Pelodiscus sinensis: one gene and its partners. The protein of the gene in region 1 interacts with the protein of each later gene in a pairwise test. Links are inferred from orthologs where the notes say so. Each region holds a gene or a part of one and is shown on either strand. Other genes may lie near its edges.

The links.
Region 2: the proteins of CCDC33 (region 1) and TTC19 interact in a two-hybrid assay, tested with the Homo sapiens proteins (2 studies listed by BioGRID and IntAct). The two-hybrid records come from large-scale screens. The link is inferred for Pelodiscus sinensis from reciprocal best matches to the Homo sapiens genes CCDC33 and TTC19.
Region 3: the proteins of CCDC33 (region 1) and NDOR1 interact in a two-hybrid assay, tested with the Homo sapiens proteins (2 studies listed by BioGRID and IntAct). The two-hybrid records come from large-scale screens. The link is inferred for Pelodiscus sinensis from reciprocal best matches to the Homo sapiens genes CCDC33 and NDOR1.

Annotation. Positions count from the first base shown.
Region 1 is NC_134724.1:39,170,574-39,174,316, reverse strand, and holds the start of CCDC33 (coiled-coil domain-containing protein 33), read right to left. Parts: upstream 2,965-3,743; 5' UTR 2,616-2,964; coding exon 2,598-2,615; intron 895-2,597; coding exon 731-894; intron 1-730.
Region 2 is NC_134731.1:3,239,670-3,243,412, reverse strand, and holds the start of TTC19 (tetratricopeptide repeat protein 19, mitochondrial), read right to left. Parts: upstream 2,192-3,743; 5' UTR 2,156-2,191; coding exon 2,011-2,155; intron 918-2,010; coding exon 814-917; intron 36-813; coding exon 1-35. Other genes in the region: ZSWIM7 (zinc finger SWIM domain-containing protein 7), read left to right, coding at 2,369-2,391. UniProt on the Homo sapiens protein: Required for the preservation of the structural and functional integrity of mitochondrial respiratory complex III by allowing the physiological turnover of the Rieske protein UQCRFS1.
Region 3 is NC_134732.1:2,440,149-2,443,891, forward strand, and holds the start of NDOR1 (NADPH-dependent diflavin oxidoreductase 1), read left to right. Parts: upstream 1-804; 5' UTR 805-895; intron 896-1,659; exon of another isoform or gene 1,660-1,662; coding exon 1,663-1,797; intron 1,798-1,896; exon of another isoform or gene 1,897-2,017; coding exon of another isoform or gene 2,018-2,053; intron 2,054-3,743. Other genes in the region: TMEM203 (transmembrane protein 203), read right to left, coding at 311-718. UniProt on the Homo sapiens protein: NADPH-dependent reductase which is a central component of the cytosolic iron-sulfur (Fe-S) protein assembly (CIA) machinery.

The DNA of each region.
Region 1 (3,743 bases):
TAACTAGGCTCCGTTTTTGCGCGAGAGGCTTTTGCGCAAGAGCCGTTCTTCCCCTTTTTTCAGGAAGAACAGCTCTTGCGTGAAAGCCTCTTGCGCAAAAACAGAGCCTCGTTAATTATGCAAATGATGCGCTGCAGTATTCCACACTTCGCCTCATTTGCTTCATTATGCAAAGTCTGGGCAGCTGCATCAACTGAGCAAAACTGCATCTGGGGCTACCCCCTGGGTACGTGGCAGCTCTGACCACCTGAGTGTGAATGCGGCAACCTTCAGTCTGATCATATGCTAGTTCCCCGCTGCAAGGGGTTAGTGTGTTTCACTCTCTCCCCTCACATTGCTGCTATAAAATATATATGGCGTTCCATAGCACAAATCACCGGTGTGACAGGCAGGGTTTGAACAAAAGGAAGTTAGAAATAGACATTCCACTCGGAGAGCTGCATAGATCATTTTTTTCTGACAACAGGGGTAAATCTCTGTGCACGTTACGCTCCTCTCCCACAAGATTCTCAGTGTCTCTGATTTCTCACGCTGTGCATTCAGGTCGGAGAGATGTATCCTCCTGTGATACCTTGCCAGTGCAATCTATTACTGTGCAGATGAAAACTAAACAGATGAGCAGAGACCAGGCTTATAGCCTGCACCACAGTCTCAACTCCTTGCCTGATCTCCTTGCTACAAGAGCAGATCTTCTAACCAAAGCCCAGAAGCAAACTTCCCCAGTACTCACACAGTGACATAGGGCCATGGCACAGTGCCCTTCTGGGTGGCTGGCAGGTTGGTGGCACCATGCAGAGTGACGGAGATGGATTCCTTCCCAGTGTGCGCCAGGTGCCAGTGATTGGTTTCTGAAGTTCGTGCAGCCTCATCCGCTCCACAGGGTGACTCCACTACCTGCCAGGCACAAGCAGAAGGAACTTCAGCATTTGTTCTTCCCTGATGCAGATCTTCTGCCTCCCACCAATCCACATCTCCAGCTCTGTTCTAAAGGCTCAGGTGTGTACCCTCTGCAAACAAGCTGAGCTTGCATATTTTGCATCTACTTGGAGAGAGGCGTCTTTCCAATGGATGTAAATGTGTCCACTGGCTGAGTCCCAGAGCAAAAGTAAATTCATAGATGTCTCCTCTTCTGTCCTTATTCACATGTAACTCCCATGGGCAGAGCGCTGCATGCATACAAAATTTGTATCCACGTCCGCATTTGTAACTGCAAAATGAGCCGTGGATGCAGATACAGGTGACCCCCGACTGACGACCCACCGCATTTACAGCCATTTCTTTCCATGTAAGATAGCTCCTAAAACCTCCCAATTTACTTCTACAGCTCTCATTTACGACGGCGTATGACGCAGACTCCACGTGTCATCCCAAAACAGGAAACGTACACGGTCAGTCAGACTCGCCGTCTGCATCAGCTGCTTGAACTGCGCCACACCGGTCTTCACTTTTTAGTTATTTTTGTGAATTATTTGAACTATTTTGTTTCATTTTCCTCCATTTCTGTAGTCAACTTTGGCATTTTTAGGGTATGAAATGGGTTTCCAGGAATGGAACTGCCATTTATAAGATTGCGCCTATGGGAAATAAGGATTCAACTTATGACAGCTTCACTTACGGCAGTTCTTCAGAAACCAAGTAGGTCATAAGTGCAGAGTCGCCTGTACCCATGGATACAAAGCAGATATGTGCAGATTTGCAGGACTCTACCTCCAGGAGTAATACATGCAGAGGAAGAGGAGTTCACAACCCAGGAAAAGGAGCTGTGAGAGCCCACAGCTTCCCCAACAATGCCCTGCCAATGTGCCTCAGCCAAGCCAGCAGAGTAGACTCCTCCAGGCAGGAGGAATCAAAGTTTGTACGGCCCTGTCATCTTCTCTGCTGAAACTGCCAACCAGGGAGCTAATCAGCAGAGAGCAGGAGGGAGGCGGAGATGAATGCAAAGGAATGTGGAGTTAGAAGGTAGAACATGAGCGGGTGGGAAGTTTGGAGTGCAGGAAGGAGACTGAGGTGTACAGATAGTTCGGATTAGGAAGCCTAATCCGAACTATCTAGTCCGTGCCGTGTGTAGCCGCGCGGCATGGGGTTCGCACTAGCCGGCTTTTAAAAATGGCGGCGCCGGCTTTATGCTAATGAAGCCCGGGAAATTCAAATCCCGGGCTTCATTAGCAAGTTCGGTATGCATACATTACCCCCCTAGTTCAAACTAGGGGGGTAGTGTAGACATACCCAGAAAAGGTAGGGAATGGAGGAGAAAGGGTAGAGAATGGATAGAAGACGGTGAGGTTGAAAGAGGGAACATATGGGCTGGCAGATGAATTGAGAGCAGGAGACTGGGTGGGAGAGAGAAGCAGGGAGGGAAGGGGGACAGGGCAATAATGAAGTGGGGGCAGTGTAGGCATACACAGGCAGCACGCTCGCACCAGGAGTCGGGGAGATTAACCAGCGCCTGCATCTCTGGAGATGCACAGAAGGTTGAAGCACACACAATTTGGGCCCAGTAAAGGCACAAAACTTAGGAAGTAACCAGCCCTCTCTCCCCCACAAGGAATTATCAATATGGATGAATGTTGATGCCTGATGGGCAGGCGCCTCCCTACCTTGGGAGCTTTTCCCATGTTTGACTTCAGCCAGAGGGCAGCGCTCTAGGCCCCTCCTGTGCCCCTGGAACCCACTGCTCCCTCTGTGCAGGGAGCTGGTGAGAGGGGTGAGGAGCAGGCAGCCAGCCAGAGGCAGCACAGGAGAAAGGAGCTCTACCCCTACCAGGGGAGGCTGGAAGTGCAAGGCCTAAACAAAAAGCACCCCGCTCAGCTCAGTGCTGAGAGTCTGGCTGAGGAGGGAACAGGCTGGGGTGGCGACCCCCCTGCACATCCCCATGGCAATGGGCCTGTACTCTTGTGCCTTGAGCACACACGCTGCCTCTGCTCAGGCCTCGGGAAGAAATGCTCTCAGACCTCCGGTGGGCACCCTGGTTACTGCCTCCACGAGCAGCGCAGGTGCCCCGTGGCGATTGGCCGGTGAGGGTTCTGAGTTGTGTGACAGCACAGTGAAAGGGCCCGGGCAGGGCTCGGGCTTGGTTGCCCTCACAACACACAGGCCGTCAGGCAGGGCCTGTCTACACAACACCCCACCTGCTTCAAACCTGGCTCGGTGACACTAAGAAGATAAGAACATAAGAACGGCCATACTGGGTCAGTATGGTGGAGGGGGGCAGGTCCTAGAGGGCTGAGGGCAGTGAGAAGGGCAGGAGTCAGAACAGCAGAGGAGGATGAGGGGTTGGGGGGCAGCAGGCACCAGGGGAGCTGATGGAGCAAAGGGGGGAGACATGGCAGCAGAGGGAAAAGGTCGAGGTTCATATGATATTTATTAATAACCTGGGTGCCACGGTGGCACATGCAAACAAGCCACATGACCTCAGTACTGGTGCAAAACACAAAATTCATTCTGCTCATGGGAGGAAACTCTTAGAGGGGACACTTCCTCCAGCCTCTCCGCCTCCGAGTTAATGTGACCCAAATTGGGGTAATGCAACTGCAGAATAGTTGCATGAGGGGGGTTTGGTGGGAGCCAAACTAATCCCTATTGGTAGGAAGATGGTGGGTCACGTGACACCTTTTACATCTGGTCATGAGCCCATCTTGCCCCGAGAGTGTTACCTCCAGAGGTCTGGCTAATGGGAGTCAGGGGTGTGGCTAATGGGGGTCAAAATTCTTTGGGTGCACACCCTAATGAAATGTGCTGCACAC
Region 2 (3,743 bases), on another chromosome or scaffold:
TCTGCTTCCTCAAGCTCGCCCTTCATGATGCTGAGCTGGAAGGGGAGAGGAGGGACAATCTAGGATGATTAGAGACCCCGGCAGGTGGAGGTGTGCCCAGCGTAGTGGCAGGCCAAGAAAGGGCACCACCGGGCAGGTGACCACACCTGGCCTGATGCTGCTCACAGGAGCAGAGAGAGACCAGCACACGTTGCCAGATGCTGCCCTGATCAGTGACTTGGGAAAAGCAGGTCAGCTCTGGCTGCCTTAAAGACTCCTCAATGCTGATGCTTGGGCACCCTCCCTTGCTCGTGCATCTAGACTAACGATGTTAAAATGAGAGTCATTTGCTAACCGTGGAGCTGCTGAAAATGTGAGTGGTTAAATGATTACACAAGGGGCAGTAACCAGCTCCGCTGGAGCTGGCCTGCGCAGGGAGCTGGCTTAAAAGACAGTTCCCAGCACGCACTGGCTCCTGTCTGCTACCCCGCTCCGTGGGACACAGAGGCAGCAACGCGGGGCGGTCACTCCCCAGGAGCTGGAGCCACGTGTAGCTCACGCTTATAAGTTAGCCTCTTACGTACCGAGTCTGGATGGGCTCATCCACCTGGATGGGTGGCCGAGAGCCCTGAATTCATCTCACAACAGGCCTCCCATTAGCTGTCGCAGTGGACGTTCCCAGCAATTCCCCCACCACACCAGCATGCTTCTTTCCCTGCCATCACTGTATGTAACAAGTTAATTGTGTAACAAGCTGGCAGTCCTGGTCACTGAGTAAAGCTGTTGGGGCCCAGCACACACAATTAGCAGTTCTCCAGGGGCTCAGGAGCTCACCTTGGCTTTTTTCAAAAGGAATATAATGGAGTCTTCAGTTCCTGCACTCTCCCCTTCCCGGGTCCTTTCCTCTTCCTCAGCATTTTTAGAGAACAAGGAGAAAGCTGGGAAGAGAAACATTTGACGGGATGTACAGGAGGCCCCCAACTTCCGACGTGATTGGTTCCTTGGGAAGTGTCATAAGTTGGGGGCGTCGTAACTCGAATGCTCATTTAGGATAGGCACCGTGCCCGGTCACAAATGCAGGCCGAGGACGTAAATCGGGTTTCCGGCCCCTTCTGCCCTTAAAAAAACGGTTCTAAGTGAAGGGGGTTGGAACGTGGGGGGTCGGAATTCGGGCGGTCACAAGTCGGGGGCCTCCTGTATTAGGAGCGCTGCTGTGTGGAGACAGCTGAAGGGGTTTTGTTCTTCTGGGCCCAGGATGGGGATTCGCCTTTCAAACAGCAGGTTCAGCTCAGCTTGTTGGAGTCACCCACCCAGTGCTGCCGCCCTCTCCCACTTACTTGTAACAGCCCCTCCCCCCATTTCTGCCTCACCCCCATGCAAAGAGGTTTCCCATTCCCCAGAGTCCTGCCCAAACAACGCCCCCCCCCCAGACTTCCACCTCATGGCCTGCCCCCTCCTAGCCCTGTCGGTTCCCCTCCCCCCCTTCCCACAGGCCAAGCACAGCTACCCCCCAATAGCCGCCTCAGTGTCGGTCTCCTCCCACCTGCCTGCCAGGCCCCTCCCCTCCATGAACCCCCCCGCCAGTCCCGGGGCCCCGACAGCTCCCTGCTAGCTGACCCCAACAGCCTTTCCCCCGGCCCCCCGCCCCCATAACTAGCCCCCCCCGACCCCCCATAACTAGCCCCCCCAGCCCCCCGCTCCCATAACTAGCCCCCCCGGCCCCCCCATAACTAGCCCCCCCCACCCCCCCATAACTAGCCCCCCCCGGCCCCCCGCTCCCATAACTAGCCCCCCCTGGCCCCCCGCCCCCATAACTAGCCCCCCCCACCCCCCCATAACTAGCCCCCCCAGCCCCCCGCTCCCATAACTAGCCCCCCCGGCCCCCCCATAACTAGCCCCCCCCGGCCCCCCGCTCCCATAACTAGCCCCCCCTGGCCCCCCGCCCCCATAACTAGCCCCCCCCACCCCCCCATAACTAGCCCCCCCTGGCCCCCCGCCCCCATAACTAGCCCCCCCCCCCTCGGGTCTCACCTGCCAGGGCGGCCAGGACTCCCGCGGGGCCGGGCCCGCTCCGCGCCCGCAGGGGCCCCGCCCCCCGGCCCCGCCCGCGCGCCCCGCGCCAGAGTCTCCCCGCGGCCGCCAGCAGCCCCGGCCCCCGGCGCAGCGCCGCCAGCATCGCGGTCACGTGACGCGGGAGGGCGCCCGGCCGTCTCTGGTCATGTGACCTGCCCGCCGGAAGTGGCGAATTCAAGTGACCCGCCGCGGGGCCAAGGGGAAGTGACGCGTCCAGGTCATGTGACCGCTTCGCCGCGGAGCGCGGGAGCAGGTGGGTCTCGAGCCGGGCCCCGCACCTGGGGCTTGGGAGCGGGGAGGCGCGTCCCCTCCCAGCATGCCCCGCGGCACAGGGGCGAGGTACGTCCCAGCATGCCCTGCGGCCTCACGGAGGGGCATGTCCCGGCATGCTTTGCAGCCCCCCCACACACAGAGAGGGGCATGTCCCGGCATGCTTTGCAGCCCCCCCCCCCCCACAGAGAGGGGCATGTCCCAGCATGCTTTGCAGGGGCCCCCCCACAGAGAGGGGCATGTCCCGGCATGCTTTGCAGGGCCCCCCCCACAGAGAGGGGCATGTCCCGGCATGCTTTGCAGGGCCCCCCACACAGAGAGGGGCATGTCCCGGCATGCTTTGCAGGGCCCCCCACACAGAGAGGGGCATGTCCCGGCATGCTTTGCAGGGCCCCCCACACAGAGAGGGGCATGTCCCGGCATGCTTTGCAGGGGCCCCCCCACAGAGAGGGGCATGTCCCGGCATGCTTTGCAGGGCCCCCCACACAGAGAGGGGCATGTCCCGGCATGCTTTGCAGGGGCCCCCCCACAGAGAGGGGCATGTCCCGGCATGCTTTGCAGGGCCCCCCACACAGAGAGGGGCATGTCCCGGCATGCTTTGCAGGGCCCCCCACACAGAGAGGGGCATGTCCCGGCATGCTTTGCAGGGGCCCCCCCACAGAGAGGGGCATGTCCCAGCATGCTGTGTGGCTGCACAGGCAGGCCTGGCCCCCACGACCCCCAGAGGGGCTTGGCCCAGCAGGCCCTGGTCCATCTTTTTCTGCCTGCCCCTCTGCAGAGCACAGCGGGGCCCGGGCATTCAGGGGGCCGGGGAGCGGTGGCTTGGTGGTCTGGGGGGGCTGTGGAGGCCCCTCTGTGGCCAGTCCCCAGCTGCTAGCCAGGAGGACAAAGCGAATATTGACAAGCTGCGGCTGCAGAGTTTGACCGGGAAGCCCCATGTGTCTCCTGCCTCGCTCCTCCCTTTCTGGGGTGGAATCGCTTGAGGAGCGGCGCTGTCTCTGATTGGGTTGCCACCTGTCCAGGGGTTGACTTCATTTGGGTGCCTTTTAGGGGTGCCAGGTGCTTGGTTTTTTGACCAGAAAGCCAGTTGAAAAGGGGACTTGGCAGTGTCTGGCTAGATGTACTGACTGGATACTAATAGTCCAGTTATTGCAGGGTGGGGGGAGACGCCAGCTCATTAGCCCCTGCCAGCCTTGGCTTAGCCAAGGCCACCTCCTCTCTGCAGGCAGGATCCTTGAAAGCTGCAGCAGCTCCTGCCATAGCTTAAAGGAGAGGGAGTACAGCTGAGGTGGGGATAGGTGATCCACCCAGTAACCAAAGGAGAAGGGTGTAAGGAAGGGAAGAGGTAGAGAGAGGGAGAGGCCTTGGGGGAAGGAGCAGGGGCGGGTCCCTAAGGGACCAGTTACCAGCAATTAGAAAAG
Region 3 (3,743 bases), on another chromosome or scaffold:
TTCAGGTCCAAATTTCTCAGTCAAGGCATAGCGAGCTCACATGCCCCAAGCAACAGTTACAAGCGCTGGCTTTCTTAAGAACGAAGGACTAAATATCATCGGATACGTTTTTATTACAAAACAACGGACACGAGCAGGCGATGCGCGCACGTCACGGCACTTCCCCACGAAGACCCAGGCGCCTCAGCGGAACGACGCGGCCCGCGTCTCCCCGTGGGGCCCAGAGTACGTCATACTGTCACGAAGTCCCAACGCGCCCCCGGGAGTGGCCCGACACGAGGCGGCCGAGCGCGCGTCCCCCTGCGGGGGCTCAGTTGACGCGGCAGGCGCGGATCATGAGGAGCTGGAGCAGGATGAAGACGGGCGACATGATGAGCCCGTACCACAGCTCGGGGGTCTGCTCCACCAGCTTCTGGCACAGCAGCATCTCGAAGACGAACTTGAGGCTGAGCAGGGTGAGGACCCAGAAGAGGCGCAGCACCGCCAGGCGCTTCTCGCCGTCCTGGAAGAGGCGCACGGACACGATGGCGGTGAAGTAGGTGCTGAGCCCGTCGGCGGCGAAGAAGGGCCCGAAGACCCCCCACCAGGAGAGCGCGGCGACCCCGTCCAGCTTCAGCACGAGCAGCAGCGAGAAGAGCGCGAGCGCCCCCGCCTGCAGCAGCAGCTCGAAGGTGGCGAAGCCCAGCCACTGCACCAGCTCCCGCAGCGAGAACAGCATGGCGGACCCGGCCCGGCCCGGCGCGCGCGGATGCCGTCACCGGAAGCGGAAGGAGCGCGCGGACGGCCGCACAGGTAGGCCGGGCGGGCGGCCGGGGCTAGGGGGCGCGCGGGGGGCGGGGCCTAGAGGGGACCCGGCAGCGCAGGTGAACGGGGGAGGTGGAGCCCAGCAGAGCAGGTGACGGGGGGGGGGGCGCATCCTGGTGTGGCCCCGGGGGGGGCAGGCAGGTTGCAGTGGGGCAGGTGAGGCCCTGGGGGGGCAGGCAGGGTGCAGTGGGGCAGGTGAGGCCCTGGGGGGCAGGCAGGTTGCAGTGGGGCAGGTGAGGCCCTGGGGGGCAGGCAGGTTGCAGTGGGGCAGGTGAGGCCCTGGGGGGCAGGCGGGGCCCAGTGGGGCAGGTGAGGCCCTGGGGGGCAGGCAGGGTGCAGTGGGGCAGGTGAGGCCCTGGGGGGCAGGCGGGGCCCAGTGGGGCAGGTGAGGCCCTGGGGGGCAGGCAGGTTGCAGTGGGGCAGGTGAGGCCCTGGGGGGCAGGCAGGGTGCAGTGGGGCAGGTGAGGCCCTGGGGGGCAGGCAGGGTGCAGTGGGGCAGGCGGGGCCCAGTGGGGCAGGTGAGGCCCTGGGGGGCAGGCAGGGTGCAGTGGGGCAGGTGAGGCCCCGGGGGGCAGGCGGGGCCCAGTGGGGCAGGTGAGGCCCCGGGGGGCAGGCGGGGCCCAGTGGGGCAGGTGAGGCCCTGGGGGGCAGGCAGGGTGCAGTGGGGCAGGTGAGGCCCTGGGGGGCAGGCAGGGTGCAGTGGGGCAGGTGAGGCCCTGGGGGGCAGGCAGGGTGCAGTGGGGCAGGCGGGGCCCAGTGGGGCAGGTGAGGCCCTGGGGGGCAGGCAGGGTGCAGTGGGGCAGGTGACCGGGAGCTGCAGCTCCTCTGTGCTTTATTGATTAGTTTTGCCTCCTCCAGATGGCGGAACGGAAGCTCCTCGTTCTCTTTGGCAGCCAGACGGGAACAGCTCAGGATACGGCCGAGAGAATTGGCAGGGAAGCCAAGCGGCGCCACTTTCACTGCAGGGTGGAGGCCCTGGACAGTTACCCTGTGGTGAGTGGGGGGCGGGGGAAGGGGGTAAAATGGATGTTGAGGCAGAGAAGAGCTCTGTGCAGATTCTGTATTGATCCCTCCCCACTGAGTTCCTTCCAGGGTGTGCTGGATGGCACCCTGCACCTGGGCCCTGGCTTGCATGCTGTCCCTCAGAGTCACCTACCTGGCACGCCTGCTGTAGTCTGCTGTAAAAGACTGAGAACCAGGGAAGGAGTAAAACATGCTTTTAGCTGCGTTCAAGCAAACTGGTGTCCCGGTGAGTTCAGTAGAGCCATTTTCTATAAGACAAAGAGCATGAGCATGTCCTGCAGAAATGAGAGCTGGGGTTTCTGTGGCCAGAATCAGATAAAACAAGGCACTTGCATCGTTCCCACAAAACACAAATGGGTCTTGCTAACACCTGTTGTCAGTAGGGCTGTCAATTAATGAAGGGCAGAATTAATGTGTTAATTTTTTTAATGTGAGTTAATCACAGACGTTTCTGCAATGCTGCCCCTTTGAAACTCTGCCACCACGTTTCAAAGGGGCAGCACAAAGTGGAGCTGGGGTCAGCTGGAGTCTCTAGCTGACCCCAAGCTCCATGCACGCTGCCCCTTTGAAATGCTGCTGTCATGTTTCAAAGGGGGAGTCCGGGGTCAGCTAGAGTCTTATAACAGCACAATTAATCGTGATTATTTTTTTAATCGCTTGACAGCCCTAGTTGTCAGTGCTGCGTGGGGGTGGGGGATGAGATGCTCTGACAAAGTGGGCCAGGCCCTTCTGAGGTCAGGGCTGTACAGATGTAAACCCCAGATCCTGCTGACGAGACGACCCATTCTGTGCCCACTTGCCTGTCTGTCCCAGAATGCCTCCCTGCTGGCACCTGTGCTCTGTGGCTGCACGAAGGGTTTGGGCAGTGCTGGCAGCAGATTTGTTGGACGGCTGGAGACACTAGACTGGTCAGTGCAGGTCACGCAGGAGAAAAGCGTTACTGCCCAATGGCCCATTGGGGCCTAGGAGATACGGGGGAGGCAGAGAACCCCAGGCCTCTGTACTTATTTCCTCAAGTTTTGTTTGTTGCTATTACTGTGAATCATTATCAGTGTTGTTAATCATACCCTCTGTCTGGGCTCTGGGCCATGCGTGCCATCCTGCTCTCTGCTGGTTGCTGATCCCACTCCTGTTAATTACCATTGCTGGGAGGGCTGGTCTGATCTGTTGCTCTGTTATAAATCCCCTCGCGGTCACCAGGACAGTTGGATGCGTGAGGCTGTGCTGTAGCTGGATGGAGAGAGTTCAGTGTGGCACCGCCACACGCACCTTTCCAAGCTAGGGGCATTCCTCGTCAGCTACCCGCAGGGGTCCCTTGCTGGAGAGCTGTGCAGGGTGCCCCTTGAGCTGCTAGGGGAAGGGCTGGTGGAACTGGCTTTCTGCCCCAGCTCTCTGGAGGAGAAGGCCCTCACGCTGCTTTCTCTAGGTGAACGGCAGTGAGCATCCACGCCCTGCACAGCGTGCCGGGGTTGTGACCTGCACCGGCATGTAGCGGCGACATGCGCATTACTGTGGCCAAACAGCCAGGGCTGTGTGTGCATGGGAAGGGTGTCTGGGCTGGGGGTAGCAGCATGCGTGCGGGGGTAGGGAGTGTATGTGTTGTACTGCTGTGGCTGGAGGGTGGGGGCATGCTGTGGGGTGAGGGGCTGTGCCGTGTCCTCTTGCGGGCAGCGTGTGGGTTTGGTTGTGTGGGTGAGGGGGGTGTGGGGCTGTGGCTATGTGGGGGGCTGTGGTGTGCGAGGGCAGTGTGTTGGGGCTGTGGTGTGGGGATGGGCTGTGTGCCGTTGTGGGGGGCAGCAGTGTCTGCAGCTGGGGCTGTGAAGGGAGTGATACTGGGGCTGGCTGTGCAGGTGGGGGAGGCTGTGTGGGGAGGCTTTACCAGTGGATGTTGAAGGTTGTTGGCCCTGATGGTGTGT